Linked DNA regions of Oryzias latipes. The protein of the gene in region 2 purifies or fractionates together with the protein of the main gene of each other region. This does not show direct contact. Links are inferred from orthologs where the notes say so. Each region holds a gene or a part of one and is shown on either strand. Other genes may lie near its edges.

Evidence for each region.
Region 1: the proteins of bag5 (region 2) and dnajb4 purify together in Homo sapiens (affinity purification with mass spectrometry; 4 studies listed by BioGRID and IntAct, with this or other methods). This does not show direct contact. The link is inferred for Oryzias latipes from reciprocal best matches to the Homo sapiens genes BAG5 and DNAJB4.

The regions. Positions count from the first base shown.
Region 1 is NC_019875.2:4,277,877-4,294,126, reverse strand, and holds dnajb4 (dnaJ homolog subfamily B member 4), read right to left. Parts: upstream 9,102-16,250; 5' UTR 8,799-9,101; coding exon 8,588-8,798; intron 5,806-8,587; coding exon 5,225-5,805; intron 3,200-5,224; coding exon 2,969-3,199; 3' UTR 2,702-2,968; downstream 1-2,701. UniProt on the Homo sapiens protein: Probable chaperone. Stimulates ATP hydrolysis and the folding of unfolded proteins mediated by HSPA1A/B (in vitro).
Region 2 is NC_019880.2:21,267,571-21,283,335, forward strand, and holds bag5 (BAG family molecular chaperone regulator 5), read left to right. Parts: upstream 1-1,596; 5' UTR 1,597-2,235; coding exon 2,236-2,291; intron 2,292-2,774; coding exon of another isoform or gene 2,775-2,903; exon of another isoform or gene 2,904-3,022; intron 3,023-3,157; exon of another isoform or gene 3,158-3,641; coding exon of another isoform or gene 3,642-3,664; intron 3,665-3,922; exon of another isoform or gene 3,923-4,089; coding exon of another isoform or gene 4,090-4,121; intron 4,122-7,085; coding exon 7,086-7,964; intron 7,965-9,370; coding exon 9,371-9,911; 3' UTR 9,912-13,055; downstream 13,056-15,765. Other genes in the region: apopt1 (apoptogenic protein 1, mitochondrial), read right to left, coding at 715-912, 2,775-2,903. UniProt on the Homo sapiens protein: Co-chaperone for HSP/HSP70 proteins. It functions as a nucleotide-exchange factor promoting the release of ADP from HSP70, thereby activating HSP70-mediated protein refolding.

The DNA.
Region 1 (16,250 bases), on a different chromosome or scaffold from region 2:
TGGACCTTCAGTAAAAAGTACTACAAGTGTACTTACTACAAGTAGTACACTTGAAGGCTACTATTTATTTAGTATCTATTGTAAAACTTAAAATGTTCCAATGTAGTCTGAAGAAGTATTTAGTTAGAATACTTCCAACTACATGGTCTATAGTAGACTTTTTCTACTTATACTCAAGTATACTTCATCAAATAAACTTCAAGTGTAGCAGCAGGAGCCTTTTAAGACGTACTCAGGAAGTTTGTATCATTTAATTTAATGTATTTTACTGAAAATGTAAATGAACGCCCACAACTTACTGAACATGTTACTTAAATATAACAACCAAACTATTTAGCGAGTTTTGACTCTAACCATTATTACTATGACCAGAAAAGGTCAATCAAAGTTCTCGAGCTACAAAAACGAGTTTTTGCAGCTTTAATCAAACTGTTGCTTATTTTATAGATATATAGATGGAACTTTGAATGATCCCAAGACAGGGAAAAGGATTTCTTACCACAGCTCAAAAAACAAGATCATATTAATAAAAGAACAGATAACAAAAGACAACAAATAGCACTACATCTATACAACACATAACACAATGAAGTGTCTATAAAGTGTTGCAGAATCTAAACAGAACCAAATAACGGCATCCAAACCATGTCTTTCCTGTCACATCGGTGAAAAATATCCCTTTGGAGGACTCTTGTTTAATTACTGTCAATTAGGAGAATTATTCTGAAAATGTCTATAAAACTGCCTTGGCTTTATTTTATTTTAAACGCAGCTTTTCAAACGTGTGGACAAAAACAGCACAAGCCAAAAATGACTTATTTCCCAGCATAAATGCCTCATCACCATAAACAGATTCAGACAAAAAGTGCATTGAACTTCTGACTTATCAAAATAAAAATATATAACACAGAATTTTTACTTTATTCTTAATTTTTTCAACTTAATTAGAACAAAATTATTTTTTTCCCTCAAAGGTTTGTTCAGAATATTATACTTTTACTGTAGAATTTCACTTTTATAGTCTGAAGTTTTGACTCAACAGCATATTTTTGACCCTTACCTTTATTTATTTAGTTAGTTTTTAAAATTCTCCATTTTGGCTAAAACGATTAAGACCGTCAGAATTTTCCGTTCACCACGTTTTTAGATTAAATTTAATAATTAATGCATCTAAAACAAAAAAATGAAGTTACCACTCTTCATTTCCAAACCCACTGATTAGAACTTGACGATCAATTCCAAAAAGTGATTCCGTTTATTGCATGCAGTTACCATGCGATGCAAACATTGCAGAAGACGTTCTCAGGGCTGCACTGGAGAGCATCGCTCACAGAAAGCCCCTCCAGGGTTCGTCTCCAGACCCCCACACTGCGATGGGTGATGTGGCGTCCCCTGGTGGGGCAGAGGCCTCCTGTGTCAGAGGCTGACACTAAGCAGCTTAGAGCTGGCAGCTATATTTACACAGTCATAATTATGTCATCATAGCTCTTCCTTAAACAGTGGGGGTTTTTTTATTCTGATGTTTGCATATCCAAAATGTACATATCTGGTTACCAACAACAAAATATTCACAGTAAGCTATCAAAATAGATATCATTTACTTTTCTCCCGCTGCTGTGAAGAACCTGTTTTCATGAAGTCATTTTCCTTTTTTGGAGAAATGCTACACAGACTACCAATAAAACAAAGAGTAGGAGCAATGCTAAATCAAGTACAGTTAATACACACTTGATTTCACGGAGGAGAAATCTGCAGAAGCTTCTACTCCATAACTGAAACAACAAAGAATCATCTAAAAAGGTCGTGTCGCACAGCCACTACGTATAATTAGCACATATTGCAGCGTACGGAGGAAAATTGGTCGTAACTGAATAACCCTTGTGCTATCTAGTGGGGTCCAGATGACCCCACCCTTACATTGACGTGTTCTCCCTACCATGACAAAGGTGGATAAAGGTGAAAAGACTTCATGTAATCCATGGACACCAGTGAAGATCACAAATCATTGATGAAAAAAGGTTCAGAGCACTGTCTAGTGGGTCTAGATGACCCCACCTCCAACGTTAACATTGGGAGTGGGGTCATCTGGACCAGAACACGTAAATCAACGTAGAACATGAACCGTGTGAGATTATTGCGCTGTTTACATGGCAATTTATTAGTGATTTGTGCATCGATTACATAATTTTAACATGAAATGTGCGCCGTATACGCGATAGGAAAGTTAGACGTCAGTTGTACATGCATGAAAAGTCTGTTAGACATACGTGGAGCGGTCGTGGGAATACACAAATTTGCGAACCACGCGTAAGTGTGTAAGCTTCACGTAATAATTAAACTACGTAAAATATGCGTAAACTGCATAATTCCACACCATCTGCGTGCATCGATGAATGACGAACCCAAGAAACACGAATGGATATCACGCCTGGATCACGAAAGACTCAAATTTCACACGTAGAAAATGCGCAAAATGTACGCAGTGGCTGTGTGACACGGCCTTGAAAGTCTTTGCCTACAATGCACTTGTTGCATACAGCCATATACCTCTTGGATATCTTGCACACAAATATTAAGAGAGCTTCAGAATCCATCAAAATAAAACACTAAAGAGAGTTTCACACAGGTCACTGAATCAGGTCAGACCTATAAGAATCAAGGTTTCATTTGGCAATACATTTCTTCCAGGAGTTCTGTAAGATTTTTTTTGGCAAATATATTTTTGCAACCAAACGTCATCTGCTGTGACTGTGGCAAAAGCCAGCTTCCATCCAACCCAGTACATAACAGTCCAGACAGTCTTTCATTGCACTTGTATCAGTTTGGCAGCATGCGTGACAGTTAGAAAAGCTCAAAAATAGAAATTGCACATTCGTCGGTTGGGCGTCCGTCTGCGTACCGTCACAGCTGGTCTCCAGCGGCTGTGTCTCCTCTCAGGGTCTGAGCGCCGTCATGCTGCTGCCTCGCACTAAGCAGGCAAGTGCCGCTTCAGGACGTCCTTGGCGTTGCCAGGCAACGCATCCGGAAAGTTCACGTCAAACTCCACCACCAGGTCGCCCCTCTGCTCCGGGTTTTTGGGCAAAGGTAGACCCTGTCCCGTCACCGTTTTTCTCAGGCCAGGCTTGATTACATCCGTGATTTTCATGTTGCATGTCTTCCCGTCTATTGTTGACACGGTGACCGAGCATCCACACAAGGACTGCAAAGTAAACAAAAGGACGCCCAGTTAGACAGTAGAAACACGCCTGTGGTCGTCTGCAGGTGAGAACTGAAATGCACGGAATAAAACCTTCAGCTATTGTCTTGACCCTAAACTATACGTTCTTCTGTATCAGCTGAAACTGTGTAAACAATGATTTATTTAAAAAACTACAGTATATCAAATGTAAAAAATAAATCTGCTAATAGCTTTTTCACTTGAAATATAAAATATATTTTAAAGGCCAAGTGTTATTTTACAGTGACGTAAAGTGTTTAGGAAACTGTATGTTTATTTATGGAGTGAGTTTTCTCTAAAGTCTGCATCACATCTCCTAAAAGACCCACACACCAATGAAAATTGTGCTTTTTTTCATGCTATTGTAGCATTTTCTGATGATGGAGGACATATATAAAGAAAGTTCAGATTAATTGCATTTCTGAGTATTTCTTTGTTGAATTTGTTGCGAATCTGGAGCAGAGGAAAACCCTGTTTGAAAAAGCTTATGTTTGTGATACAGCAACAGAAATTGGGGGGACCAAAGTCTTCCTGCTCTGCTGCATTCTGATCATCCACCTGCAGTCCAAAAGATCCATGAGCATCATTGTTTTCCTGGTCTGAGCTGGAATCTGGATCTGAACTGGACGCCTCGATAGCTCCAACATTGCTCGCCATTTTTGTTGCACCGCAAATGTTAGTTTGGGGGTGTGAGGGGCTGTAAGCTAGTGAGAGAGAGTGTAAACAAAGGGATAATGGGATGTAAGAGGAGGGTTACTTCCACCCAGCAGTCCTGCCCACAATCAGAGATGAACTCCTGCCACTCTGCAGAAACTATGTCTTAGAAAATGATACAGGTTTTTAGATTTTGGCTAGAAACCACATAATCATCATTGAAAAACCACTGGGAACGCTTTAAAAATAGATCAAAATATGATCGGAGTGGGGCTTCCATTCTAGATGATGGGCGTGGGTTAAAATAATCATGGGGGAGTCGAATCATGCGTTGGGTTTGAGGTGTCACAGTCCAATGGAAAGGTGAAAGCCTTCATAGATGACATGTTTTTAGACGTTAGCAGGAAACTGTTAGGGTATGACTTAGTTTTTCTACAGCATAATCACTTTAGACCCATTACAAAGCAGATATGTATTTAATAGTCTCCTTTTATACTTTTTTGCAATGTATAATTACTTGTACTGATCTGGAGCTACAGCAGTGTTACTGTGACAAAGCTGTGATCTGACATTTCTCAAGCATCTTGAAGCTTCTTTATCATCAGATGTTATTTGTGGAGAGCTGTTTCTCACGAGAACTTGATGGAATCTGTCTCCTCCATTTGTCTAGATACAAAGGTCCAAGTGTGAGTGCTGCACTCTTGACCTGTGTGATGATGATGAGACTGTCAGAGTTTGAGGCTACACCGCTTTGCACTGTTGTGCTCAAACTAACCTCAACAATCATCATCAGGTCATTTGTCTGCTCTAGACTGCCTTATCTTTTAGTTTAACTGTTTCTTATTCCGGTTCAAACTTTTGGAAAACAAAGGAAAACCTCTGACAGTGAAACGACCTGAAACTCTCGTCTCGGTCTACAGTTTCACCGTTGCCGTCATGGTGACGGATAGTTTTTTTGGGTGTGTTTCACTGCGGGAATGGGCTGATCTTGTGTGGTTAGCGTGCGGCGATCAGACATTCAGAGACGAGGCTGTGAAATTTCTCACTGAGAGCCGAGGAGAGTGGGAGGAACCAGAAAAGTACATGTTGCGTGTGGGCGACCGTCGCCTTGCAAGGGTCGTGAAGATCCCATTCCTCCATGTGGATGATGTCGGTTGCATAAGTGTTTGTGTGTAGATCAGCACTATGTTCATTCAGTACGGGGTTTGAGGTAGACTTCCTCCGGTTTATTGATTGTAACGCAGCTGTTTGGCGTCCAAAGCTTGGAGCTTTGTTCTCCACTCAAAGTGAACTTGCTCATAAACTCGCCGATATGACGAATCCATGTACCAGACTGAAATAGAACTAACGCACCTGTCTTAAGCTCACACGAACAGGATACACGATGTTGGAGCCCTCTCGCCTGAAGTGCGGGTGAGGTTTGTCCTTGATGACGAAGACGATGTCAGCGGGAATGGTGTTGGGCGACTCGTCGCCTTCCCGTGGGAATGTGATCTTTGTCCCCTCCTTCCAGCCTCTCTTGATCTCAATGGTGAGGATCTTATCCTCCGTTCGCATGGTCCTGCCGTCTGGGTTCAGCCTTTTGCGGGAGATTTTCATTCTCTTGGTGCAGCCGTGGAAGACTTCTTCCAGGGTGACCCTCAGTTCATGCACGATGGGGGGGTCTTGCTTCCGACGCTGCTGCCCGCCAAGGCCCACGTGGCCGTCCCGAGGGAAGCCGTTCATGTTGAAGCTGGTGAAGGAGCCAAAGGGGTCGTTCCCATCCACATCCATGTCCTCGTCGTCTCGTCCGTTGGCTTTGCGCCCAAAGAACATCTCGAAAGGGTTGGAGCCACCAAAAAAAGTGGCAAAGGTGGCATGAGGGTCTCCATGGAAGGTGTAGGTGAAGTTGGTGCCCTGTCCATCGCCAGCCGGAGCACTTCCACCCTTCAGACCTGATGGACAACACAAGTTAGTCATCAGTATCGTGACACAGAGGAGATAATGTGTCACAATGCAACAACAGGCTGTAAATGTGAGGATGCAACGAACTGAATGCAACAAATCCACGAGCAGCTCTGTTAAATTACAAAATTACAGGAAAAAAACTGTTGTTCTGACAGTTTTTTCACATTTGAAAATGTGTCTTGTGTTTGCTTGTCATTTACCATTTATCTGAGAGCTTAGTCATGTGATCCGGACTTCTAGTACAGTTTTTCTCCAAAGAAGATCTGCAGTCTCCAATAAAGTTGGTGAGGAGGAGTAAAGCTTTGGATCTCTCAGACGGTTTCACTTTATGAAGTTAACAGTAGATCGATGATACCTCTGATGGTAAAATATGCTGAAAGATATGTCTTTTCTCAGAGGTTAAACTATGATCAATTATCCTACGGTAAGTTTAATGGAAAACAACAATGACTTGGACTTTGACGGTGTGTTCAGACTGAAAAAAGTCCATTGGTCCAGATCGAGCCCTGAAGTTTGCACTTAGTCTGTATTCAGACTGCCGTCTACTGTACTTTCCTGTTTTGACCACCTTGAGAGATGGGTCCGAGAGCGGTTTCTGCTCCCGGACCAGGGGCCGGTTGGGTATGACCATAATGAAAATTTATTCTGGATTTTCGGGGGAAACAAACTCTGGTTCACTTTAAGCGAACCAAATGTCCAGTCTGAATACAGTCTTAGATATATAAGGGGAAGACTAGACCTCTTCACCCACTTAAACACCTTTTTCTCCTGCCAGGTTGATCATAAAGTGAGGGCCTTTGAAACAAAACAAAATCTGAGAAAATTCTTGCGGCCGTGTCACAGTTTTTTCTCGCATATTGCACGGATGAAAATTGGTCATACGTGAAAAGATTGAGAAAGTTGTGGTCTTTATGTGAAATTTTCACAGATGTATCAAAAATGAATCACCCTAAAACCGAAGAGGGAGTACGAATGAACCACGCAAATAACACGTAAAATCGACGTAAAAGCCAAACCTGGCCCAAAATTCATGTGTCAATTACATATTTTTAACATGAAATGTGCGCCATACACGCAATATGAAAGTTACACATCGGTGGTTCATGCGTGAAAAATCTGTTAGACATTCGTGGAACGGTTGTGGAAAGACACAAATTTGCATATGCATCTCGCAAAAATCACGCACAATTGCGTAAGATTTGCGTAATAATTAAACAACAGTAAATGGGCGGCCGTGGTGCAGCGGTAGGGCGGTCGACCCATAATTGTAATATTCCGCGTTCGATTCCCGCCTTGCACGCCCATGAGTCGAAGTGTCCTTGGGCAAGACACTGAACCCCACCTTGCCTCTGGTGGGAGGTTGGTGCCAGTGTGTGAATGTGTGTGTGAGCATGGGTGAATGGGACTGTGACTGTTAAGCGCTTTGGGCCTTTGAAAGAAGGTAGAAAGCACTATATAAGTATACGCCATTCTATGTAAGTATACGCCAAACAGTGTAAATCTCAACCGCCCGAAAATTTTGAATAGCTCAAAACCAAATTCACCCAAAGACCGTCAGCTGAAACCGACGGACATCTATGCACATCGACGAACGCAAGAAGCACTTATGAATGACGAATGTCCTGAATGTGTCACGAAAGACCGAAATTTCATACGAGGAAAATCAGGAAAAAGTATGTAGCGGCTGTATGACACGGTCTTTAGATTGTAACCAACTTTACATCGTTAATCCCAGTAACCCTTATGCTATCCTGTGGGGTCCAGATGACCCCACCCTAATTGACATGTTCTCCCTACTATGACAAAGGTGGATAAAGGTGGAAGGATTTCATGTAATCCATGGACACCAGTGAAGATCACAAAAGAAGAAAAAAGGTTCAGTCATCTGGACCCCAAAAGACAGGTATTGGCTTGCTCAGCGCAAGAAGATAGCACAAGGGTTATAAAATAAAAAATACTTAAAGAAACTATAGATTTGGCTACATTTAATCCTGCCTTCATCCTGAATCCCACACATCTAAAAGCATTTCTGTGGATCTTTGAAAGGTGATGGTGTCAAAACCACACAGTAGGTTGCTCTTCTTCCTCCATCCACACTTCTGTGGTAACCATGGCAATAGTGGAAAAGCATTCCTTTCTTAAAGGGATGCAGATGGTGCATTTCAAAACCATCTATTGAGGCTAAAAATGTGGCCTGTAAAGGTAACTTGAGTGTAAATCGTGTGATGCTGATATGATTCTAGTGAAAATGGTGGAATGTCACTCATTAATGATGGAAAGACATTTCCAGACCCATTAAAGACATGACTCATCTTCTGACTCAGGCAGATTAGTTCTTCAGTGTCAGCATCCATACCTGATTTTCACAGATAATCAGCGGTTTGTCATCACCCTTTGACGTAATAAAATAAAAGTGAAAATAAAATATTAAAGTGATAAAATATGAAAAAAGTCATAGTTAAAGAATAGGGACAAGAATAAAGCACTTCATGCTTCAAAAATGGGTGCAGAACTCAGCTGTGGGTCGTTTTTATATTTAAAAAAATAAGAAGCATGAAGCCAAACCCTCAATAACTGCAGAGAGCTGTGGTACAGTGGTCTGCCGAACAGCTGTTTTCTGGATTTCCCCTGACACTGAGGGACTCGAACTGAAGCCAACTGTGCTTTTGGCCCAGCCATCCACATGCATCACCATGACCTGAAGGGGGGATTTGGGGGCCAATCTGGCAACTCAGAGGGAGAAAGGGCGATAAACGGCGTGAACGTTACCTTCCTCTCCATACTGATCATAAATGTCCCTTTTCTTAGGGTCGCTCAGGACTTCGTAGGCTTCAGCGACCTCCTTAAATTTCTCATCGGCGTTTGCAGACTTGTTTTTGTCCGGATGCCATTTCAGCGCTTGTTTTCTGTAAGCTTTCTTGATATCCTCGTCCGTGGCTCCTTTAGAGATCCCCAGCGTCTTATAATAATCTTTACCCATCTTTTAAAAAAGGAAACAAACAAAAATCACACAGAAATATCAAATAAAAATCGGAATCGCCCCGCAGAGCAGTTGCTTCTGGCCCGGCTCGATGATGATCGATGCTCTTCACAGCCAAAGTGTCGACGTTAAATCAGCGCAGGGCAGAGACGGAGCGCGAGATGAGGGGCATTTGGGGGCGCTTGAGTCAACGTCATGGACCCTCTGTTATTTATCCGCGACTGGACGACCCTCTTTAAATAGACACGGCTGCCCTCCCTGCATCCACAGCGCCAAAGTCAAGCTGCACGTGAACCACGACATCCCATTTCCGGTGATTCCTGTTAGCCGTTAGCTCGGACTTTAACTGCGTACTAAAATGTTGAAAATGTAAATTTATACTCATATATATTTTTTTTCACTTTTTAAAACTGTTTCAATATGTTTAATTCGTTTTTTTAAATAAAAAAATAAAACATTTCAATACATTATACATAAAACCTTCTAATTCATTAGTTTGCAGAAATGTCACTTTCTTTCATTCATAGAGAGAAACAGTTTTAATAACAGTTTGTTGAATTGGACGTGTCCGCTCGGACCGCTCCCGACTGTGACGCTTTCGTCCATCAAATCACTTTTATTTTGACAGTGTATTTCCGGTGGACTCTATTTGAGAGACGGAAGTTGATCTGGAATTGAGCGGCTCTTTCTGGAAAGCAAATGCTGATGAAGCTCGTCATCCTCTATAAAGGGGCCCTTTACACCCCGCACAGGTGAAAAGTGAACAAAAAAAGACCTGCTTTATCTTCTTGACATCACAATAGAAAACCAAGGCAGGACACCCCACATCCCCCACAACCCCATATGGACAAAATGTATACCTTTGGTAAACTTTCACCTGAAACAGTTACTCATCTATTTTAGCATTGCCCCCTTTACTCAATCTTCTGGGCAAATTTTCTGTGATTTCTTTTGTTACAAATCTGCTTGTGTTGTTTGGCTTCCGCCATCACAGGAATATGCCAATCCGATTTTTAAGAAATACATTCATCTTCCTGGCTAAATTTTACTTTCATTAATGCAAATTTTCTAACAAAATTCCAACGTTTTCTTAACTTTAGTGGAGGTCAAACTATATTGAAACTTTTCATTTTTCAAACAACAAAAAAGCTAGAAAATATTCAAATTCCAATTCTGCAATGTTTTTTCATTCTTACTTCTATATACTCATTGTGTGATTTTGTCTGTTTGTTCCTACCCCTGGCTCCTTATGTTGTTTATTTTATTGTGATTTATTTTATATTATTGATATGTTTGTATTGATTTACAATGTATAATAATAGTTTTGAACTGAAACTGACATTTATAATAAAGTTAGAAAATAAAAAATCCCCAATATCCCAGAACCCCAAGTGCCCCAACAAGATGTTACTATCTAACATTTAATAAAAAATGCCTATAAACATTTAAACTGTGCATTGTAAAATGTAATCCACGTGTATCTTGTTATGTTGTGATGAACCTTGTGATGAACGTCTGATAAACTATCAGTGTATTATTTTCTGTATTTTATTTACATCTGTTCTTCTAAGCTATTTATCATCTTTGTGCAAATGTATAGATGAAAGCCATAAGCCTACAGTTTTTTTGGCGGTCCCTTTTAATTGTGCAAAAGAATAAAAATCAAATCAACCCTTAGATAACTTACCAGAAAAGCCACGCTTGCATATATCAAATCAAATCAAATCTAACTTTTTTTGGATAGCACTTTTCCAACTTGTGTTACTCAAAGTGCTTTACATAAAAAACCTAATTGATTTATAAAAACAAAAAGCAAGACACTGCACAAAAAATATGCATAAAACCAGTGTGATGCACAGAGGAGCACCGAGAGGAAATCATCCGCAAGAAGCTTCGTGTCTTTGGGAGGCGTCCCCCCCTTCTGCAGAGGATCAATAAGGACAAACTGTCCTGTTAAGGTCTGTGAGTACTTTTCCCCCAGCAGTTGAATGTATCCAAGAAGAGAGGCAACGGAGAAACGAGTATTAAAAACATGATCAGGGGCCCTTACTCCCGGAGGAAAGGTCTCCCCCTGGACTTGCACAACATCTGTCAGGGTCTGACAGGAAAGACCCCAACCTTGGAATCACGTTGTTACTACTGTTCTTTGTTCTTGTTCATTATGAGAGTTGAACAGTCAATAAGTTATCTATATTTTGAAACGTGCATTTTTTTCCAGAGTGATGAAAGGTATTAAAGTTATTTATTTTAATGTTAATGGACTCACAAATCCTAATAAGCGTAGCAGAGTGCAAACTAAGATGAAGAAAGAGCAAGCACAAGTGGTGTATTTATAAGAAACCCACATAAATGATAGGGAACATTAAAAATGAAAGAAAATGGGCTTTACAAATATGTTTTTCTCCTCATACAAATCTGGCGAGGCGTGGCAATCCTAATCTCAAAAAATTTAAACTTTGAAAAGTCTTTTGAGATTAAGGATAAAGAAGGTAGGTTTGTTTTCGTGCGGGGAACGATAGACGGTAATCTAGTCTCATTCGTGAATGCATATGCACCACCAGGAAGCGACTTGAGTTTCTTTAAAAATATTATGAACATAATTGGAAACAGAAACCCAATGTCTATTGATTTGTGGTGCAGACCTAAACATCAGACTAAGGCCTGACTTGGATAGTTCTAGTGGGTGACTACAAGAACCAAATACTTTATATTAAAAAGTCTGCAATCTTAGAGAAGGTTGGTTTGATAGACATATGGAGAGATCTTTTCCTTATAAGGAGAGACTACTCTCATTACTCGGCCCCACACTAACTTTATACCAGAACAGATTATTTCCTAACTTTTGGGAAAGTTAAAGATAGAATTCAAAGATTTGAAATGGGATGAATAGACATAAGCGATCATGCACCATTATATCTAACTATTCATTTAAACACATGCCCAAAATTATCCACTTGGAAATTAAATTCATCCTTGCTCAAAGACATAAATATTTAAAAAATAATGATAAAAGAAATGACAGATTTTCTTAAATCAAATGATAATGGAGAAGTGTCATTTTCAATACTATGGGACACATTAAAAGCTGTCAGAAGAGGGAAAATTATATCAATCGCCTCCCATAGGAAGAAAACACGTAATAGAAAGGCTGAAGAATTACAAAAGAAGTTGACACAATTAGAAAGTGAACATAAAAAAACCCTTTAACAAGCACGCTGAAACAATTAAAAGAAGTTAGAAATGAAATAACTAATCTTAGTACGCAAGACATAAAGAAAAAAAGAATGTATTTGAAACAGAACTACTACGAAGGTGGATCCAAATCAATGAAAATTTTAGCATGGAAACTGAAAAAGAAAATTGCTGACAGCACTGTTAGCAAAATCAAACATCCAGAAACTTGAAACATTATAACCAAGTAAAGTGAGATGCATGGAGCATTTGAAGCATTTTACAAACAATTGTACTCCAAAGTACCTGGTAGGACTGAGGACGAGATTGATTTTCTTAATTCCATAAACCTACCAACTCTGAACGATCAACAAAATAAGAAAATGACAGCAGAGGTCACATGAATGGAACTCAGGAAAGCCATAAGTTGTTTGAAAACCAATGTCACCGGATTCTGATGGCTTTACGGCAGAGTGGTATAAGGAGTTTAAAGATGAGTTGGCCCCTTTAATGCTTCTTGCATTTAACTGGGTGTTAAAGAAATCACAAATACTACCAAGTTGGAATGAAACCATTATTTCTGCCATCTGAGTGTGGCTCATATAGACCGATCTCTGTCCTTAATATAGATTACAGGCTGTTTAGCTCAATTATGGCCAGGTGAATGGAGGAATCTTTACCCAGTCCGATATGTAACGACCAGACTGGATTCATAAGAAACAGGCAGACACAAGATATTATAATATAATAGAGCAGATAAAACATCTAAAAATAAAGCTATAGACGCGGAAAAGGCATTTGACTCAGTAAATTGGGATTTTCTGTATAAAGCATTGACTAAATTTGGATTGCATAACACAGTTGTTGAAACAGTGAAGGCTCTGTATGCCAATCCCACAGCAAGAGTTAAAGTTAATGGTTATCTCTCAAACAGCTTTACAATCCAGAGAGGAAATAAACAAGGTTGTGCCTGGTCTCCACTTTTATTTGCCTCATATTTAGAGCCGCTGGCACAATCAAATAGACAAAGCAAAGACATCAAAGGAGTAAATATTCAAGGACAGGAACACAAACTTGCGTGTTACTCAGATTGTATTTTAATATATTTGTATTTTAATATATAAAAACCTACAAAATCTTTACCTGAACTGATGAATCTGTGCAGAAAATGTGGAAACCTATCTGGGTATAAAATGAATATGGATAAAACTCAAATACTTGCTTACAACTGCTGCCCACCAGCAGTTTTGGCGATGCAATAACCGATGATATGGCTGACAAAATCAATAAAATATTTAGGTGTAAACATACCCAAAAACCTGACCAAATTATATGAGGAAAATCACATCCCATTACAAAAAAAGATAGTTGAGGATGTAAAACGTTGGAACTTGATCCCCTTTTTCACTTTATTTTCCCGAATTGAATCCATCAAAATGAATATTCTACCGAGACTACTTTACCTTTTCCAGACGCTACCAATACATATCCCTCAAAACCAATTTAATAAATGGGACAAAATCATTTTATGATTCATATGGGGAGGTAAAAGACCCAGATTCGCCTTAAAACGCTTCAATTACATAAAAATGAAGGAGGATGGAGCCTGCCTTCTCTAAAGGATTATTTTCGGGCAGCTCAAATGAAGACGGTGATTAACTGGTGTGATGTGAACTATAAAGCTAAATGGAAAGACATGTTGGAGAATATACTCACTATTCCCATACAAACAGTCCTGGTGGACTCAAATACCCAAAAACAAATTGACAATGTCTGTAATCCATGGTTTAAGTGTACACTCTCTTTATGGAAAAACGTAGTTAAAGAATTAAAACCAGAACGCTCATTATTCAAACGGTATGCCCACGATTCTAATTTTGCTCCAACTAAATTGGATTTTCATTCTAAATATTGTTCTGCCAAAGGGTTACTAATTTGGAGGTTTGATTAAAGATGGCAAGGTTACTCGTTTTGAAATGTTGAAAGAAAAATGCAGTTTTGAAAAGCAGGACCATAAAAACATTTATAAACCAATAAGAGAACTTTATAATTGATCCGGAATCGCACAACGAGCAATGCAGCGATTTTAAAATCGGTGTAATGTGTTCCTGCCCCCTGATCCTCGTCAACACGCATGCGGCTGAGTTTGACATGAGAGGAGGGCATTGCAATAAACTAATTTGCTTGAAATAAAAGCATGCATTAGAACCTCTGTGCTGGCAAGAGAGAGAAATGGGCGGACTCTGGCAACATTTTTAAGATGATAAAATCCTGTCTTTGTTGTATTTTCAATTTGTGGTATAAAATTGATCTCAGAGTCGAAAATAACTCCCAGGTTTCTCACACACTGAGAAGTTTTGTCATTTTTGTCATGTCACCACACTGCTCCCCGTTGGCTTTATCCCTCCTCCTAACCCACAATGTATTGATGGACAGACACCTTCCGCTCATCTTCGTGTCAGAATTTCACCTTTGATGTTATATTTGCCTTTCCAGCAGATCTGGTATAATTGTTACACAGCTTAAAATAGTGACTTATTCAAATCAGCGATTGTATCCCCCACATTCTCCACCTCTCCTCCTTTTATTCTCTTCCACCCCCCTCACACTCTTCCTCTCTCCCTCCCCACACACACTAAACGTAACAAAGAAATAAAAAAGTAACAAAAAGGGGTTTATACAAATTTACACTCTGGTTTTTTGAAGTTATATAACCTCTTTTTGTGATAGTAAAACCTGTCCAACACAAAAGGCCTTCAGCTCTAATCTGTTTGCTGAGCTGTTGGACATAAGTTAAAAAAAAAGAAAAAAAAGAAGAATTTTTGTCATTTTTTAGTTTAGATTAAACAGTCTCCCTCAGAACTGATGACTGACACCTCTGTTTTGTCCTGGTTAAACTGTAAGAAGATTTCTGCCATTCATGACTGCATTTCTAAAATGCAATTTAAAAGAATGTTGACGGACTCTTCATCATCAAGAAACAATGAACCTTGGGGGACTCCACAGTTGATTTCAAAGACCTTTGAAGAGGATGTATCCATAATCTGCGATCTGTGAGATGGGAGTAAAACCACTTTAGTGCGGTACCAGAGATGCTCAAACCTCTCAGCCTGTTGAGTAAAATACTGTGATCTACTGTGTCAAATGCAGCAGTCAGATCCAGTAGTACCAGGACTGAGAGTGTCTGACAGTCCAGGTTACATCTAATACTTTTTTATTAAGGGCTGTCTCTGTGCTGTGGCTTCTCCTAAAACCACATTGATACATTTCAAAGATGTTATTTCTATTTAAAAACTCATTAAACTGGATTGGAACTGTGTTTTTCAATCATTTTACTTCAAAACGGTAAGTTGGATACTGGACGATAACTGTGATAGTTGCTTGGATCTAAATTACTCTTCTTCAGAAGAGGCCTCACCACTGCCGTTTTAAAGGCAGCAGGGAAGACACCTGTCTGAAGAGAGTAATTTACAATGTTTAAAAGCTCAAACTCAAAGAAGTCGTCAAGTGTTTTTAACAGTGATGTGGGGATTGGGTCTAAAAGGCAGGTGGTTGGCTTTAACTGGGAGAACACTTGACCAAGTACCACGGCATCAACCAGAACAAAACTCTCTAGTGTTTCCTCTGGTAAATAAAATGCCAGAGATTCATTCAAAGCAACACCTTTTTGAGTTAAGAGACTGGATCTTATAGCATTTATTTTACTCCTGAAGTGGTCTGCAAACTATCACATGTAGCATCCGATGCTGCTGTGGAGGACCTTTGAGAGTCTCTTTTTGTAAGAATATCTGTTGTTTCAAAAAGAACTTTAGGGTCATTTTCATTGTGTACAATCAAGTCGGAGGAGGGGGAGATTCTAGCTTTTTTATTGCATGACTGTAAATTGTTTGTTGTTCTTTAAACATTTCTTCATGTTCAGTTAATTTAGTTTTCCTCCACCTCCTCTCTGCCCTCCTGCATTCACGTTTCATGGTCTGATTGTTTCCTTCCTCCAGGGTGCTGTAGCTTTAGTTTTTGTTATAAGTGGAGCTACAGGATCAATGGCTGACTTTAATTTTTTGTTAAAATGTTCATCCACTGAATCCCAGGATGCAGGTAAAATCTGAGCCGGAGCTTGATGTCAAATATTGATCAAATTTGCAGCCACATCAATATTTATGTATCATTTCCTCACAGTTCTCACTGGAGCTTCCTGTAAAGTAAAACTGGTGACTAGTGACTACGGTGGTACAAACTTTGAAGAATGTTAAAACCCAAATATGGCAGTTAGGATTTGAAGAA
Region 2 (15,765 bases):
TGTGTTTGTACCAGACTTTTTCCACACAAAACACTTTTAGTAAAACTTGGTTTTCAGAAACTCTGACCTGCTAAAAGCTATGATCCCCTTTCTTCAGATATTTTTACACACAAATAATTTGCAGAAGATAGAGCCATGCAAGTAAATTTCTCTAAAACTGATCATTTTAAAATTTTACTGAGCACAACGCTGACTGTTTTCTGGGTTTTGTTAAATGCATTTAAAGACTAGTGATGCTTTTGGATGCTCTGCAGAAATCCTGTGCAGGAAGCGCGTTGCTGCCCTCTGGTGGTGAATCTCAAATACCGACACACACAGGACAAAATAACTGATTTAAAAAACCAGCAGTGTCACTCAAGTCCTGCTCTTCTTTATTTATTATATGTAAGGTTTTCACAATATTGTTATTCACTGATAAAATGAGTTAAAGTGCTTTTTAAAGTGAGCGGCCCAGAGGAACGTCAAATCGGTGTTTTGTTTGCTTTAACACAAGCATCAGTTTTCCTGATGCTGGTTTTTAGGAGCGACTGCTGTCAGTCCAGCCATGTTGGACCCCGTTGTGTGGGGGAGGACGTTTTAACCGAGGAAGGACGTGTCACGTGTCCTGCAGCTCCCACCGATGCCGAGATGTTCCTGAATGCATGTCGGGAAACGAGGAACCTGAAAACCTCGTCTGGACAGGATGGCACACTTGTAAAAAATGTTGGTTTCAACCTGGCTGAAGTTGAGGTTCTGCTGGGTCCAGAACTTGTGGTTCCAGTCCTCCGTCTCCTGCCTCAGGTTTCTCAGCCTCTTTTCCAGCTCCGACTCCTCCTCAGGGATGCGGTAGATGATCGGCCGCAGGTTGGACAGCGGGTTCGGGGGGCCGATCCAGTCATGTGTAGAGCTGGGCTCCGGTCTCAAAGGTGTCCGCTGAAAAATGGAAATATGAACAATAATTAAACGTATTTACTAAGAACAGATGGACTGCAAACCGCAGTCCCATGCCCACATCCTAATGTTTGCAGCATTTGTCCAAAGATGGACTTTACAAGTGACCAAAAAAATGTAAAAAAAAAAAAGAAAATAAAACACCAGAAAAAGGTGTTCGTTTAACCCTGGAGAACCCAGCAACCATTTTTTTTTCAGGGCTTTTAAAGGTAATTAAGCAAATTTGATTTTGTTTCTTCATTTTGGAAAGCAGCAATTAACAGCAACCAAAAAAAACTTCAAATGAAAACCTAAAAATAAAGGAAAAACTAGAGAGAAAAAGAAATAAATAAAAACCATAGAGCTAAAGTTGATCCTGTGGATTCCCCCAGAGTTAAAAACACAGAGACAAGTCAAAAAGATAACTAACAATGAATTAATTTGTCCCACCAGATCGATCTGTCTGAGCCAAGAGGGTAATCAATTCCAATTGACCTCTACCATTAAAAAAATCGTTAAAATCGATTATATTGATCTTGGAAAATACCATTTAGATTGAGGTACAGTAGGTTTATTTGACTATAAGGTCAAACCGCCCAATCACAGCAACACACATGTGATGTCATTAACACGGATCAGTCCATCATTCCAGTCCAATGTGTGGACAGACTTTGAATAAAGTCATGCGACCATCCAGTGTCTAGAATGTTCTAAGAATGTTCCCTTTGGATTCTTTGGATGTGGAAAAACAACAGTGGAGAACTTTAGGAGAAGATCAACCAACAACTGTTTGCTTTTTTCAGGAAACTCTTTTTCAAAGAGGGCCAACTATTCAATGCATTAAAAGCAAATAAACTATGAACATTATTATGGCAATTGGACTCTTCCTATTTCTTCACATAAAAGAGAATTCTATCTAAATACATTTGTACATGAATTTCTGATTAGAAGGCCAGACTTAAAATCCAGAATAGGTCTGCAGCTTTGATGGCCCTTTGGAGCCAGCGCAGTCTGAGGGTTTTTGATGGGACGGCCCCCCAGGCATGATGCAGAGGGAACCAGAGGACTCCAGAAAACCCATTTTAACCGGGCCAAAGCATGTGAACGCATCTAAGAATAACCAACAGAATCCATCAGACTCTGGCGCTTCAGGTTCCTACGGTTTGGGGCTGAGGTGGGTCAGCAGGAGGCCCTGCAGGAGGGCAGCAGGAGGGATGCAGGAGGCCCTGCAGGAGGGATGCAGGAGGCCCTGCAGTCTAACTGGAGGCATCTGCTTATCAGTGCAGAGCAGACGGCAGCAGGAGAAGAGCACGGAGGAGAGCAGGCATGAGGAGAGCAGGGAGGAGGAAGACTCCATCCAGGACCCAGAGGCCTGAAAAAAGGTGCGTTATGACATCACTACCTTCAGCTGCAGAAGTCTTTGGACTTTCTTCATCATTACGGTTACATTTACTACAGTGAATCAGAAACATTAGCCCAAACAAACCCACTGACAGCTGTTACAGATGGGTTCTACTGGTGTCTTTTGATTCTCGCAGCCTTTCTGTGAGGATCTAGAGCCGTTAAATGAAACTTCAGAACCAGATGACGTGAAAATCTCTCATGGTTGCTGATGAAAAGCCTGTCCGTTAGGCCTAAGCAGCACTAAACATAGAAGGAGTTGGTTAAAGCCATGTTTAGTTCAGCCAGTCAGTAACCTGCAGGTCAATTAGACTTTTTGGCTGTGCAGACCTAGTGCGCATGCGTCGTTATCTTGGTTTTCACAGCAGGATCAGAACCTCAGCGTTTCTGATTCCTCCGGTAATGTGAGCACGGAGCCTGGGATAAAAACACCAACGCGGAACGGACTGCGGCGGCGCGCGCACCTTGGCGGCTTTATCCTGTTGGCTCGTTGGATTATTAGAGCCGTTGCGCCGGATGTTTACATCCAGCAGTTGCACGCGGGAGTTCCGCGCGCTCCTCCACGACAAGCGTCCAGCTGCCCCGAATGTCATTCCCGCAAAATCAAGGCACTGTCACGCAGAAAAGCTAAACACGCAACGGTGGCGAACAACCCATGTCTCCCAACTGTATGTCCTTCCGCGAGGATGTAGGACAGGTGGTCACGTGAGCTGCAAAAAACGGCTAGAGACGCTCGGAAACAGCACCTTCGCAAGCCGTTAGTCAAGTCTCTGCCCGACGGGTTCGGAGCAGATGAGGTTTCAAACTAAACTCTAAATAAAACATATTTCTAGAAAGATACTGTCAAAACTTTTCATCGCAAAAGCTTCAAGTACCAAAGCTACAAACTACGTTTTGAGTACGTTATTTAAAAACACTGCTATATTTATGTTTTATCAGAAGCGATAACGAAATAAAACATAAACAAAACGGGTCGAGTTTGTCTCCGCACAGAGTTGGTGATTAAATGGAGCGCACTCGCTGTTGGCCGACAACAACCTTCCCTGCGTCTGAACTGATAAAAGCTTCATTATTAAACGAGATAATGACCAACAAGATTAACCAAAGTGTTAGGAATGTGTACAGATATAGTTGTAGCTGTTGGTTACACTCAGAGATTGAAATATTGATTAAAATACGAAGTGGGAGGGTAGATTCAGCGAAACAATCGAACTCCGTGAAACTATAGTGGCGAGGCTGAGACGGGAAAGTAAGTCCGTGAAGGTGCAGCTAGGCGGGCTAATGTTGATCTTCAACAGAAGGTTTGGGGCTTTTCCTTCGCAGCGGGGTACATGGCTGTTCGCTGGTTATGCAGGTAAGACTGGGGCGGTTCAACGGCGGGTAGATGCCGGCGTAAAGCCGCAGTTTATGCGGTCAAGGTGGGGCAGAGTCAGTCAGGTGATCACCGACAGCTCACAACGGTGTTAACGGGCTGGAAAAAGACCCGGTGGTGGGATTTCATCTTTCGAAGTCAAATATCTGCGCGTGTAGGTCAAGTGTTTGGGGTTTTTTTTATTTTAAAAGAAGGGGGGGGGGGGGGGGGACAAAACCATGTTTGCAGACGTAGTGGCTTAGAGGTGGGAGGGGCGACAGCCGCCGGACTGCAGGCGGGCGGGCAGAGTCTGTCTGCTGGTCGCCGGAGCATCGCGACACCTCCGCGGGCTCCTGTCTGCGCACGCGGCTGCTCCCCAGCTTCGCCGGCCGCCTGCTTTCTGCTGATGGAAACAGACATCTCTCAGAATGTGCGCGAACGTGTTCGGAGTCCTGAAGAGGTGAGGCGGCGTCAGGGCGGGGCGGGGGGGCTGGTTCGGCTTCACGCTCGTCCGCCCGCAGAGCCAGCGGCCACGCAGGGTTTCCCGCGGGGGACTAGCGTTGGCGGGGCGGCTGTTGAACCGCGTCCGGTTCGGGTTCCGAACGGCCGCGTGCGCCTCAGAGGCCCTCTCTGGCTGCTGTAACCAAACGGAGGCGCGCGCTGATTGGCCGTCCGCGCGGGGACTGGACTCCGATTATCCTAATAAATGCTGAGATTTGGCAGCTTTCCCCTCTGGAAATGTCCAGCCCTCTTACATAAACCCGCTTTAGAGGAGGCCCAGCATAATCTGGTTTTGTTAATACGCGTTATTGTTGCCGCGGGAGGAAAAGGTTGCGGCCGCTTCGCTTGTGTGCAGCAGTGATGCTCGCGCGTGTCCGTGCATGTGGTGGAAAACCTGACATCTAATCTATTGAGCTGTTTTCTCCTCATCAGAGGGAATCCAGAACCTCAAATGCATGAGGCCAGAGTCAGAGGACTGCATGTGGGTCTCATTCTGGGGGGAAACTCCTCAGGATGGATGGTTTTACATTTCCATTCAGCTCAAATGCCCTCGTGTACCGTGAAGGTCAGAGGTCACCGACCTGAGGCTCCTGCATCCTCCACTCTGGCTCTTTAGCTGTGAAGAAAGATGCTAATGAGTTGAATAAATAACAGTTTTGGTCCATTTAGTCAATTTTTTCGTCATTTCGGTTTAGTCTTTAATATGTGTAGTAAAGTGTAGACGATTGTCAAAGTTGTTTATTGTTAGAATAAACTTGAAGCCCATTTTCTGATCTTCTGCTGCACAGTGGTTGCAGATCAAATTCTTAAAGGATAGAACTGCATTTACATGTATAGATTTAAATAAAAGAATTCTTCACCAATCCTGTCATATTTATATTTAATGACGAAAGGGGGAAAAAGATGATGGTGCCCTAAAATCATGGTGATAGAAAAGATCATGTTTGATTTGACTTTCTTGTTCTGTTTTTTTTTTTATTCCACTGAATCATGTTGCAGCAGGAAGATCTCTTTTATAACACAGGGTGTATTTTATTTTGAAGGGAACTTGCATGTGCTGCTGTCCAACAGAAGCAAAAAAAAAATAATGTCCACGTTTGTAGAACATTATTATTGGAAATATTTCAAAGCTGCAGTTTATACATGAATGGCTTAATGGTCATAAATAAAATGTCGTTTTGGGTTTCGGTCTGTAAGAAACCGGTCCAAATGGCTCTTTTAGGGTCAAAGGTCACAGACCCCAGGATCTATCTTCAGCTAAATATTCCACTAAAGCCATGCTTTGTAAGTGTTGAGGAGCTTTCATACTCGGCTTGGTGCATTGCTGACCGTACCATTCTGCCGCAGCAGACGAAGCAACGCTTGTCTGTCTTCGTCATCGTCTTCGCGGCTGCAGCTTTGGCCTAAACGGAGACGTTAAAAGGCGAGGAGACGGCTCTCACGCGGTTCTCTTCTGTCGGTGAGCGTCTACAGACGTGTACCAGCAGCTCACGTCTGTATGTTGGGAAGCCTCGTTCTGCCACTTGATCATCATCCTTTTCTGCTTCTCAGTCAATGTTGTTCTCGCTTTTGTGTGGAAAGACGGAACTCCTCGCTCCATCATTTTAAAGTTGATTGATCTGGTCCAAGCACCTAAAATAAAGAAGACCAACTACCTTCTCTAAAGCTGACGTTTAGACTGTTGTCCTCTCCGTTTTTTGGAGCAGCTCTTTGCTTTGACACAACTGACGGACCTGTCTCAGTCGAAAACAGACAGTTACACCAATAAAATCACGAATCCCTACTTTCTGCTTGCTACTCGCTAGCGGTCACATGTTTGAGAACACCCACTAGTTCAAGGTGGTCCGGTTCAGGTGAAAGCCTGCGGTGGAACAACAGGAAGCGGTTTAAAGTAAAGCTGAAGTGTAAACATTTTAGAAGGACAAAAAGATCCTTTGGTTGGAACAAGCTACTGATGAAGACTTTAAGCAGCTCTGGAGCCACCGTGATGCCAAACGCTCATGAGCAACAGCAATGTTCAGCTGAAATAAGTGGGTCGTTTAAAAAAAAAAAAAGGGAATTCTTAATGAAACAGAGCATCCAAACACTGAAAAATGTGGGTCCTGCTAGCTGAGAGGGAGGGTAAAGGGAGTCGATGAGGACCGCTTCCTTTCCCGCCAAGAGTCTCCGCTGCAAGCCCCGCCCCCAGGCTGACACACACACACTTTCTCCGTGGAGCTAGCATTTTTTTTGCGCGAAGCGCAGACACGCTGGCGAGGCCGGCCTTATGACGACGTCATGAAATGGGCGGCACCCCCAATGAGAGAGAGGCGGAGCCTCAGAGATCGGTCGTCTTACTTCAGAGTAGGAAAATGAGCTGTGAGAAAACTCCTATCTCCTAAAAATGGTTCTTTAGTGTGCCAAAGGTCATATATGATCTCATATGATGTAGTTTACTCTGACAGGATCAAGAATAACCCGGTTTAGACCTTTTAGCACATCTGCTAAAGAATGCCTCCACTGTGTGGGACCATGTCAAACATGGAGGAGTAGGTGTGATGATGTGGGGCTGATTAGCTGTGGTTGTGAAGTAGCTGCAGAGCAAAGACCAAAGTAGTAAACATGGAGGGGCCAGAACCGTCTCTAGACTTAAACCTCTCTGAACTGGTTTGGGATGAACCGGACAGAACGGTGAAGGCAAAGCAAACTAAGGAAGGATTTTTCTTTTCATTTCTATCTGTTCATCTTTGAAATCAAAGTTGATTTTAGTCTGTTTGAAACTCATATGTATTTTTTACTCTCCTCTGATTGCAGAGTAAAAAGCCATGACAGTAAATAGGAAACTGGACGTATTAGAGTGTTGCAAAACGTTGCTTCGGGGCTGTTTTTGCTGCTGCCGGCCACCAACGGCTTATTGATCTGATTTCCTTTGTGTTTTCTCCAGCTTGTTTGGGAAGCCCTTTGATGGAGGGAAAAGGATGGACCATGGCGGCCCGCCGGAGCCGCAGCAGCAGCCGTACTATTCCCAGCACCCTGCCATGATGAAGCTGTACGAGGTCCAGAAAGAGGTGCAGTCGTCTCTGGGGCCTCAGGTCTGCACCTTCAGTGGCCTCCAGAACGACCGGGAATACAAGCGTTTGGAGCGGGAGCTGACCCGCCTGCTGTTGGAGGTGGACCAGGTTGACACAGAGGGCAAACCGGATCTGCAAGGGACGAGAAAGAGGGCTGCGCAGGAGGTGGAGGGTCTTCTGCGCTACCTGGAAGAGAACGCCACCCACCCGTCCCGTCTGGCCATCGAGGAGCTGAGCAACGCTGCGCGGCAGCTGGTTGAGGAGCGCGTGGTGGCCCCTCAGCGGGCTGGCGGCGTCTCCGAGATCACAGATGAGCTGGTCGATGCTCTCCAAGAGCTGGTGCTGAGACTCACCCAGATCAAAACGGAGGGGCGAGTGCCGCTTCGCAAAGCTCGCTACAGGGCGCTCACGCGCCTGTGCGCCGTGCAGGATGTGCTGGAAAGCCGCACGCAGCATCAGACCCTGCCCCTGCCGCTGTCGGGGGAAACCCACGAGGCGGTGCACTGCATCAACCAGGTGATGGTGAAGGTGAGCGTTGCTCGCAGTCAGCTCGTGGCTCTGCTGATGGGGCTGAGTGGGCGGGACAGCTGTGCCCACCTGTCGCGCATCTTGACGGAGCTGCAGGTGGAGCTGGACGCTCTGGACGTCTCCGGAAACGCCGCGATCAGAAATTACAGGAAGCAGGTTGTGGAGGAAATAAATGGACTTCTGAAACATCTGGACCTGGAGGGAGAGGGAGAAGACACGCGCAGGTGAGCATTCCACAAAACCCTACGGAATAAGTGTCCACCGTTAGGGGAGTCCCTGGAAGATAGAAAACACCCTGATGAGGAACCATCGCTCTAGTTCTGCTAATCCAGAGTTCTTCATCGTGCAGAACGTTCACAAATGTGGGATGGATCTCATCGTCTGCAGGGACTCTGCTGCTGCTGCAGGGTTTAAAGAAAATAAGGTTTCTGGGATCTTAACATGTTCTTGTGCCATTTTTTTGTTCTGATTGGGGACAAATATAAAGAAAATTAAGCGGAAATTGGCATTTCTGAATATTTGTTTATTAGGTGCCACAGTCAGCCGACCGCAGTCTCCTGGCTCCGCCCCTTTCTGATCACCCACCTGCAGACAGACAGATCCATGAACGTCTTTTTTTTCCCGGTCTGAGCCTGAATCTGGATCAGAACTGGACGGATGGATAGCTATGATGTTGATCGCCACTAATGTTAGGTTGGGGTTGTGAGGGGCTGTGTGCTAACAGGAAAGCGTGTAAACAAAGGGATGATGGGAAATGAGGATAGGCTTACTCCATGCCAACAACTCAGAGGTGAATTTCTGATGAACTCCTGCCGCTCTGCAGAAACTGTCCTAGAAAACAGCAGGGTTTTCTTTCCTCCCAATTTTGGATAAAAATGACATCATCATAATGAAAAGACTGCTGGGAACACTTAGAAAATAGATCAGAAGATGATCGGAGTGGGACTTTAACCACCTCCACCAGAACATAGTCGCCAATTCTGAGCTGGCTGACACAAACCAGAGCCACAGTATGATCGTCCAGTCGCTCTACAACATGTAGACGACAAGCGTGGTCGTCCTCCTTCAGCTTGATGACATCTGTCAGTTCATGCAACTATCCATAGATGATGAAGGAACCCTGGAGGACTTCATCCCACCTAGATGTTGAGAGGCCGTGATGGCTGCATGTTATGTCGATGATGTTGTCCTCTGTCTTCAAACAAAGACGTGGTCCTTCCCAGCAGCCTCAGGGTTTTGAGAGTTAAGGTCAAACTAAAGCCGTGTTTCCACTGAGCGGTCGGGTTTCAATGGTCCAGGCCGTTCGGGTGAGCCTCGGGTCGTCACGCTAACAACAACAGAGGAGGTCATCCAGCCGCTCATCCTTGGTTCTTTTGTATCTACAAAGCAGTTAATGTTGTGAGAGAGAAGATCGCGGGCGGCGAAGAGGTTGGCGCTGGTTTGACGACCCACAGCCAGACAATGGTTTCAGAAGCTCCGCCCTAACCCAAAATGTTATGGGTCGGTCTGATGGCTCCATTTTATAATGGAAAGGCTGAAAATACTGGACCGGCCCGCTCAGTGGAAACCGGGCTTATATGTTGTCAGAGTTGCTGCAGACTCTCATCGTTGGGGTTTTGTGTCCCTGCAGGTACGATTTGGCGCAGAACAACTCCATCCGTGAGATAGAGGCTGTGCGGGCTCACGTCTCCCACTTGCGAGAGGGGGTCCTGCGACACTGTGCCATGGGAGACCTCGGGTTCAGACCCAAAGCTGAACTGCAGAGCCTTCTCACACACCTGGACCAAGTGGACACGGCCAAGAACCCCTGCATCCGGGAGGCCCGGCGGCGCGCTGTGGTGGAGGTCCAGGCTATCATCACTTTCCTGGACCTGCGCGAGGCTTTAGCTTGCCGCCTCACCGGCCCTGACGAGCATCCGTCCCATCGCGCCGTGTGGCTGGTCCTGGGGAGCCTCTCTGACCTCCAGGCGCAGGTGCTGGGCTTCGACGGCAAGAGGGCCGACAAGAGCTACATGATCCTAGAGGAGATGCTGACCAAGCAGCTGCTGGCGCTGGACGCCGTGGACGCACAGGGCGACGAGATGACCAAAGCGGCGCGGAAACAGGCGGTGAAGTTCGCCCAGAACATTCTCAACTACCTGGACATGAAGACGGACGAGTGGGAGTATTGATCCGGTGCCGGGGGGGCGTGGCTGCGGGAGGGAAAGCAGCTGTTTGTAAATAAAAATAGTAGATTTCACGTAGTGTCTAAAATCCCCAGAATGCACTGCTGCAGCGCTTTCCTTTCATCCTCGTGTGACCATGGCCAGCACGGGACTTGTTTTGTGAAGCGCTGGGTGGCGCTTTTGTGCGCTTGTGTTGTGTGTGGTTGTTGAAAACCTGCTGACTGACAGACGGAAGGCTGGCGGTTCCTCCGCAGATGTCCTGTGGCGTGCGCTGCAGGTGGCGGCGGCGTACGCTCAGCTCAGAGGACAGCGGTCCGCTGGCCTCTGGAGAAGGGGTTCGGGTTTGTGACTGATCACAGACTCCATTTGCCCCTCAGTTTCCTCCAGGTACCCGGCTATTCTTTTTAGGAGCAGATGGCGGTTTGTTAGTGTGAATTAAGGGATTTGTCCTGCTTTGTATGATCACACCAGTCTATAAATGGACGGGCTTTGAATCCAGAGAGGCGGAGGAAGCGAGGCGGCGTTGCTGCTTCTCTCATCACAGTCCCTGCAGGAAGCAGCAGAGAGGGCAGCGCTGATCTCCTCTGAACTGACGTATCCAGGCTGAAGCTCCCGCAGCCGACAGGCCGGTCCTGTGGAGGGAGGTGCTGATGGGGATCACAGCTGACAGGAAGTGCTAGAGCTGGGAGATCGTGGGAGGGGAGGGAGGTCCTGAAATGGGAATCTCGGTGCCTTTATTTTGGTTTCTTTTGCTTTGCGTCCATGCGCAGCGGAGAGGCCGCTTTGCTCGTCATCTGCACAGGAAATTAGCCGCTGTCTGGAGCAGAGGCTGCTCCTCCTTCCTGTGGCGAGGTCGTGGTGGGTCATTAGTAGCTGAAGTGACGCTCATCAGGAACAGCGTGACTCCCGGCGCTCTGACACGGCGCCGACGCCAGCGGGAAACGTCAGACCTTTAGTCAGAAACGCAGAACAGACCCTTCTTCCTCACCCTGACCTCTGTGGCTGAGGCGGGTCTCAAAAGGTCTCCTGCTACCGGACCAGAAAGATGTGAGCAGCTCAGAGGTGACGGTGCTGCTCTGCTGTTTTTGGCAGGACTCTCCAGAGTCCGTCCCTGAACGTTCTTCTGCTGTCGGACGGAATCAGAAGCAGCGCTTTGCTGCCGCACACAGAAAAGTCGGTGACGTTTCCCAACCGCTCTCGGATAACGCTTCCCCTTAGTGCAGACTCTCAGAAGAGGATTCCTCCAATGACAACTCCAAACTATCAACACCTTCTAGCAGTTTAGTGGAATTTTTGGGCTTTTCTGATCATTTTAAATGCATTCGAATGAATACATTTATCAAGCACTGTGGTAAAACCATCAGTTGTGGAAATCAAGTGAGTTTTTGACAGATTCAGTTTTATTTCTTCAGCCCTAAATTCCAACAATGGGCTTCATAATTCTAAAGGATCATGAAGTCAGTCATTAAATATCTTAGGTAACTGCTAAACTACAGTCAACTGGGCCTCCAGAAAACAGATTCTGGGACAAACAGAAGAAACCTCAGGGTGTCACCATGAATATGGACTCTGACTCCTGAAGGTGCGAGCGCTTTTCCGGCGTCCTGCCGCTCTGCCCGCCGTGTGGCCGCCACGCTTTCCTGCTGAGCTGAATGAAGGACTTGCTGCTGCTGCTCATGTCTGACCGGGAAGAATGTCCTGACACACGACCGTGTGTGCCGCATCAGAACGTCCAGGCCGGGGGTCAGCAGACTGGATGCTGGACTCTAACAGTTGGCTTTACCGTTTTCTGTAATTGACTTTTACCCACAAAGCTCCACATCAGTTTGTTTGTGTGGTCATCTAAGCGTTTGGCACATTGAAATCTTAATATTTTGGGGGGGAATGACTGAAAGACTTCGTTCCTCCTGTTTTTTATTTTTTTATCTGGGTGTTTTTCCAATCCTCTGGTTTCATAGAGTTGACTCAGCAGCTGCTGCTTCTGATCCTTTTTTTTTTTGTGTTATCTTCTTCTGAAACGAGTGTAACGTGAAGGACGGGCCTTCAGGAGCGGCTGGTAGAAACGAAGGTCCAGTGAAATCGGCAGGTGATTCCCACAGGTGAGCTGAAGGTTCAACTGACACACACAGACTGACTGAGCTTACGTTTACTGTTACTTCATATATTTATGATGCTCATGTTGGTGGTATTTATACAGATTGTGGTTTCAGAGCAAACAGAACTCACTTCCTCACCCAGACTGCAGAGTTTCTCCACAGCTCGCTGTTGCCGGGCAGATTTGACCTCGGGACAGTTGAGTCCATTAGACCTTGTGCTATCTTGTGGGGTCCAGATGACCCCACTCCCAATCTGAACGTGGTTGGAGGCAGTAGAAGGAGCCGATGGGCCTTCACAGGACATGAATGGAGTCCTTCCAGAAGGTCTGTCTGCGTAGCAAAGTGAGCTGAGATGAAAACTCAGAGGTGAAAAGAGACGAGGCTTTGGCAGATTGGGATTCTGTCGTCTGGAGGACAGGAGACGAGCCGACGCCTACAGATGGTTTGGTGACCTTCTCCCAGACTTCTCATGTCATGCGTTGTTACACGAGCAACACAAACATGAACGGTGGAAAAAGAACACGTGTGTGAGGTTTGTGTCACTTCCAGATGTGGGATTTTCTGGGTTTTTCTTCAGGTGGGGGTTTGATTCCTGGCCGCAAAGCCCCACATGAAAAGCCTGGAAATGTTTGAGTTGGTCCCTCTGCTTCATTAAATATTGTACAGAAGGAGCCGGATGGTTGCAAACCTCCTTCCTTCAAACCGTGTTGTGTTCCCAGCATTCATTGCATCTTTCTTCATCCCCGTCCGTCTGCGGCCTGCAGAGTTTTCTCGCCGTGGGCAGGTGGAGGTGTCACCACTATGTTTGACGCTCCAATCGAGAATTGGACTTCTGCTTGTTGTTTTTTGTTGCCTTGCTTCTGCTGACAGGAATGTGTTTTATCTGAGCTGGATTTATTTTCTCAAGTCGCCTTCAGCTGCACTGATTGTGATGTTTATCTGAGACGCGCTTGTACAAAAGCCCCCCATGCTCCGTGTTGTGTGAAAGCCTCATGGTCGGCTGTCTGTGGACTCGCTGTTCCCACTGCAAAATAAAGACGGCGTCTTGTTTTATGTGCAGTCTTCGTGTTGTTTTTTCTTCCTTGTGGACCCAGAGGCGTTCTCGAAGCTGTAATGGTGAATTTTAGAGCCAGGCCATTTCAGGTAAGCATGAGACGAGGGATAAAAGGTTTGTTCCTGATGGAGATGTGCATTAAACTTTTATCGTCCTTGCTGGAGGACACATGGCTGCTCCAGCAACCATTTGGTTTGTGCTGCATCTGGTCTGACTGAGACCTTAGTCCACAAAACTCTGAGTCCCGGGTGGAATTCAGTGATGGGATTCTGAAGTCTGTTACGTATTTTTTCCCAGCTTCTCTTCTGAGAATATTTTTAAATAAATAAAATACAGTTTGTTCCACTCATGAGCTAAATGAGCCAAAAACGTGTAACATCCTATGAAGCTTCTTCATCGACTCTCCTCCTCTCCCTCTGGCTGCACTTCTCCCTTTCTGCCGCTAGGTGTCACTAGTGAAACCATGAGGCGGTCCAGCAGCATGTTTGCCTTTTGGCCTCCACCACAGGAGCAGACGTGGATGGATGGACTTTATTATTTATCTTTCAACACAGCAGAACAATTTCAAATTCATAAGTACATGTAAAAAAATCTCAGACTATACTTTCCACAGACAGTTTCAAACATCTAATAAGATGGTATTCCTGGCCAACGGGGTTCTCCTGCCTAATGGCAACAAAGGGAAGAAGTGATGGAGAGGATAAGTGACGTCCTCCTCATTACCGATCGCCTGTTCAGGTCACTGAGAGGACCCAAACATTTGGTGGCCATCCATCCGTCCAGGACCAGGTGTGGGGGGCAGCAGTAAAAGCAAAAAAGCCCAGACTTCCCTCGCCCTGACCACTTCCTCCAGCTCCTCTGGGGGGACCCAAAGGCTTTTGGCCTGGGTCTTCCCCGACGCCTCCGCCCAGTGGAACACCTCCCCATGGAGGCGTCCGGATTAGATGCTCGAGCCACCTCAACTGGCTCCTCTGGATGTGGAGGAGAAGCGGTTCTACTCCGAGCTCTCTACGGGTTCACCCCCCATCTATAAGAGATTTTTTACGATGTGGGCGGTCGCCCAGGGCGGCACTGCATAGGGGGCGGCATTTGCCGTGCCCGATGCGTAATGTGGTAATGTGGTACATACGGTACATACTATATTCAACGAGGTAGCTTGAAGCTTTTAAGTTGAAATTGCTTCAGTAGCCGACACTTAATGCTTTTATTTTGACACATCAGACTCTTAATAATGTTTTCCTCCTATTTCCTCTTCACACTTATGGTGCAAAAAAAAAAAAAAAAAAGAATAATTCAGAGTGAAACAACGTAAAACAGGCAAATGAAAAGGATTTAGGCATAACAAACATTCGTTTTTTTTTTTTTTTTTATTTATAGAACACAATACAAAACAATACCAGAACATTTACATAAAATTACAAAATATGGCGAATACAAAAGAGAATACTATAATTGGAAAGGAAGCAAAAAGAAGAAAAATTCTTATCAGTATGCAAACATAAACCTATTTATATTCATAATCATAGAGAAATCAGGGAAAAGTATAACATAAGAGAACAACAATTTCAGAGTTGGATAGTGTTGCAAAAAGCAGGGGGATACAAAATATAAATAAACTGTCTTAGACATCAGGAATATCACTCAGGGTGTCATAAATTGTTATGGCTTTAGGTGAGTCGATTAACTTTATGGATTTTAAGTATAAATTGACCTCATTATTAAAGAAGCTAAAGCTGGGGTGGCATTTCTGTAACCTATTTTTGTGTATAAAAAACTTGGCTAAACATAACACAGTATTGATACATACATTATTTACATTGTTGTGTAGTGACAGGCCAAAGATTATGATTTCTTTGGAAAAGAAGTCCATGATGAATGGAAATTTATGTCTTAACCATTTGTAAACATCCAACCAAAACACTTGTACAACATTACACAGGAAAAATATGTGGTCGATGTCTTCTCCGCAGTTTGGCAGAAGGAACAGCTGTTGTCATCAATGTTGAAACGTAATCTAAGTAGTTCTTTGGAAGGATAAATATCATTCATAATTTTTAAGTGTGTTTCTTTAACTTTTGGGGGAATAGGAAGTTTCAAGAAATCGGTTCTTAATTTAAGAACAACATTTCGTTCAAATTTCTGCAGTATATTATTTTTGTTCTGTCGACCAGGAAAAAACCTTTCAATGAACCAATTTCTGATAAATGAGTTATTACATTTTCTGTCCATTAGAGGGCATCCTTCAATTGACAATGTGGCTAACTATGGTTTTATCCTTAAATGTGTCATTGTGTTCCTTGTTAGAAATACAAATTCTCGAGGAAGAGAATTGCGTACTTTTAAAAATTCTGAAATAGGAGGATTAAAGTTATGTCTTAAACAAAATTGCTCATAATCTAATAAATTTCCTTCCGTATCCATCAGATCAGACACCGACCAGACACCTCTGTCAAACCATTCAGCAAAAAACAAAGATTTGTTTCTGTGGAGGATGTATCTGTTGTTCCAAATGATATTTGAGTGTGGCGAGAAATTATGCACATACAAGATTTTCCAGTATAGCAGAATTTGTTTGTGGAACTCTGATAATGCTATAGGGAGCTTATTAATGTCAAAATCACTAATAAGCACCAACTTTAACCCGCCTAATTTGTTAAATAAATAATTTGGGACACAAAACCAGAAGGATTGGTTGTGTTTGATCCACGAT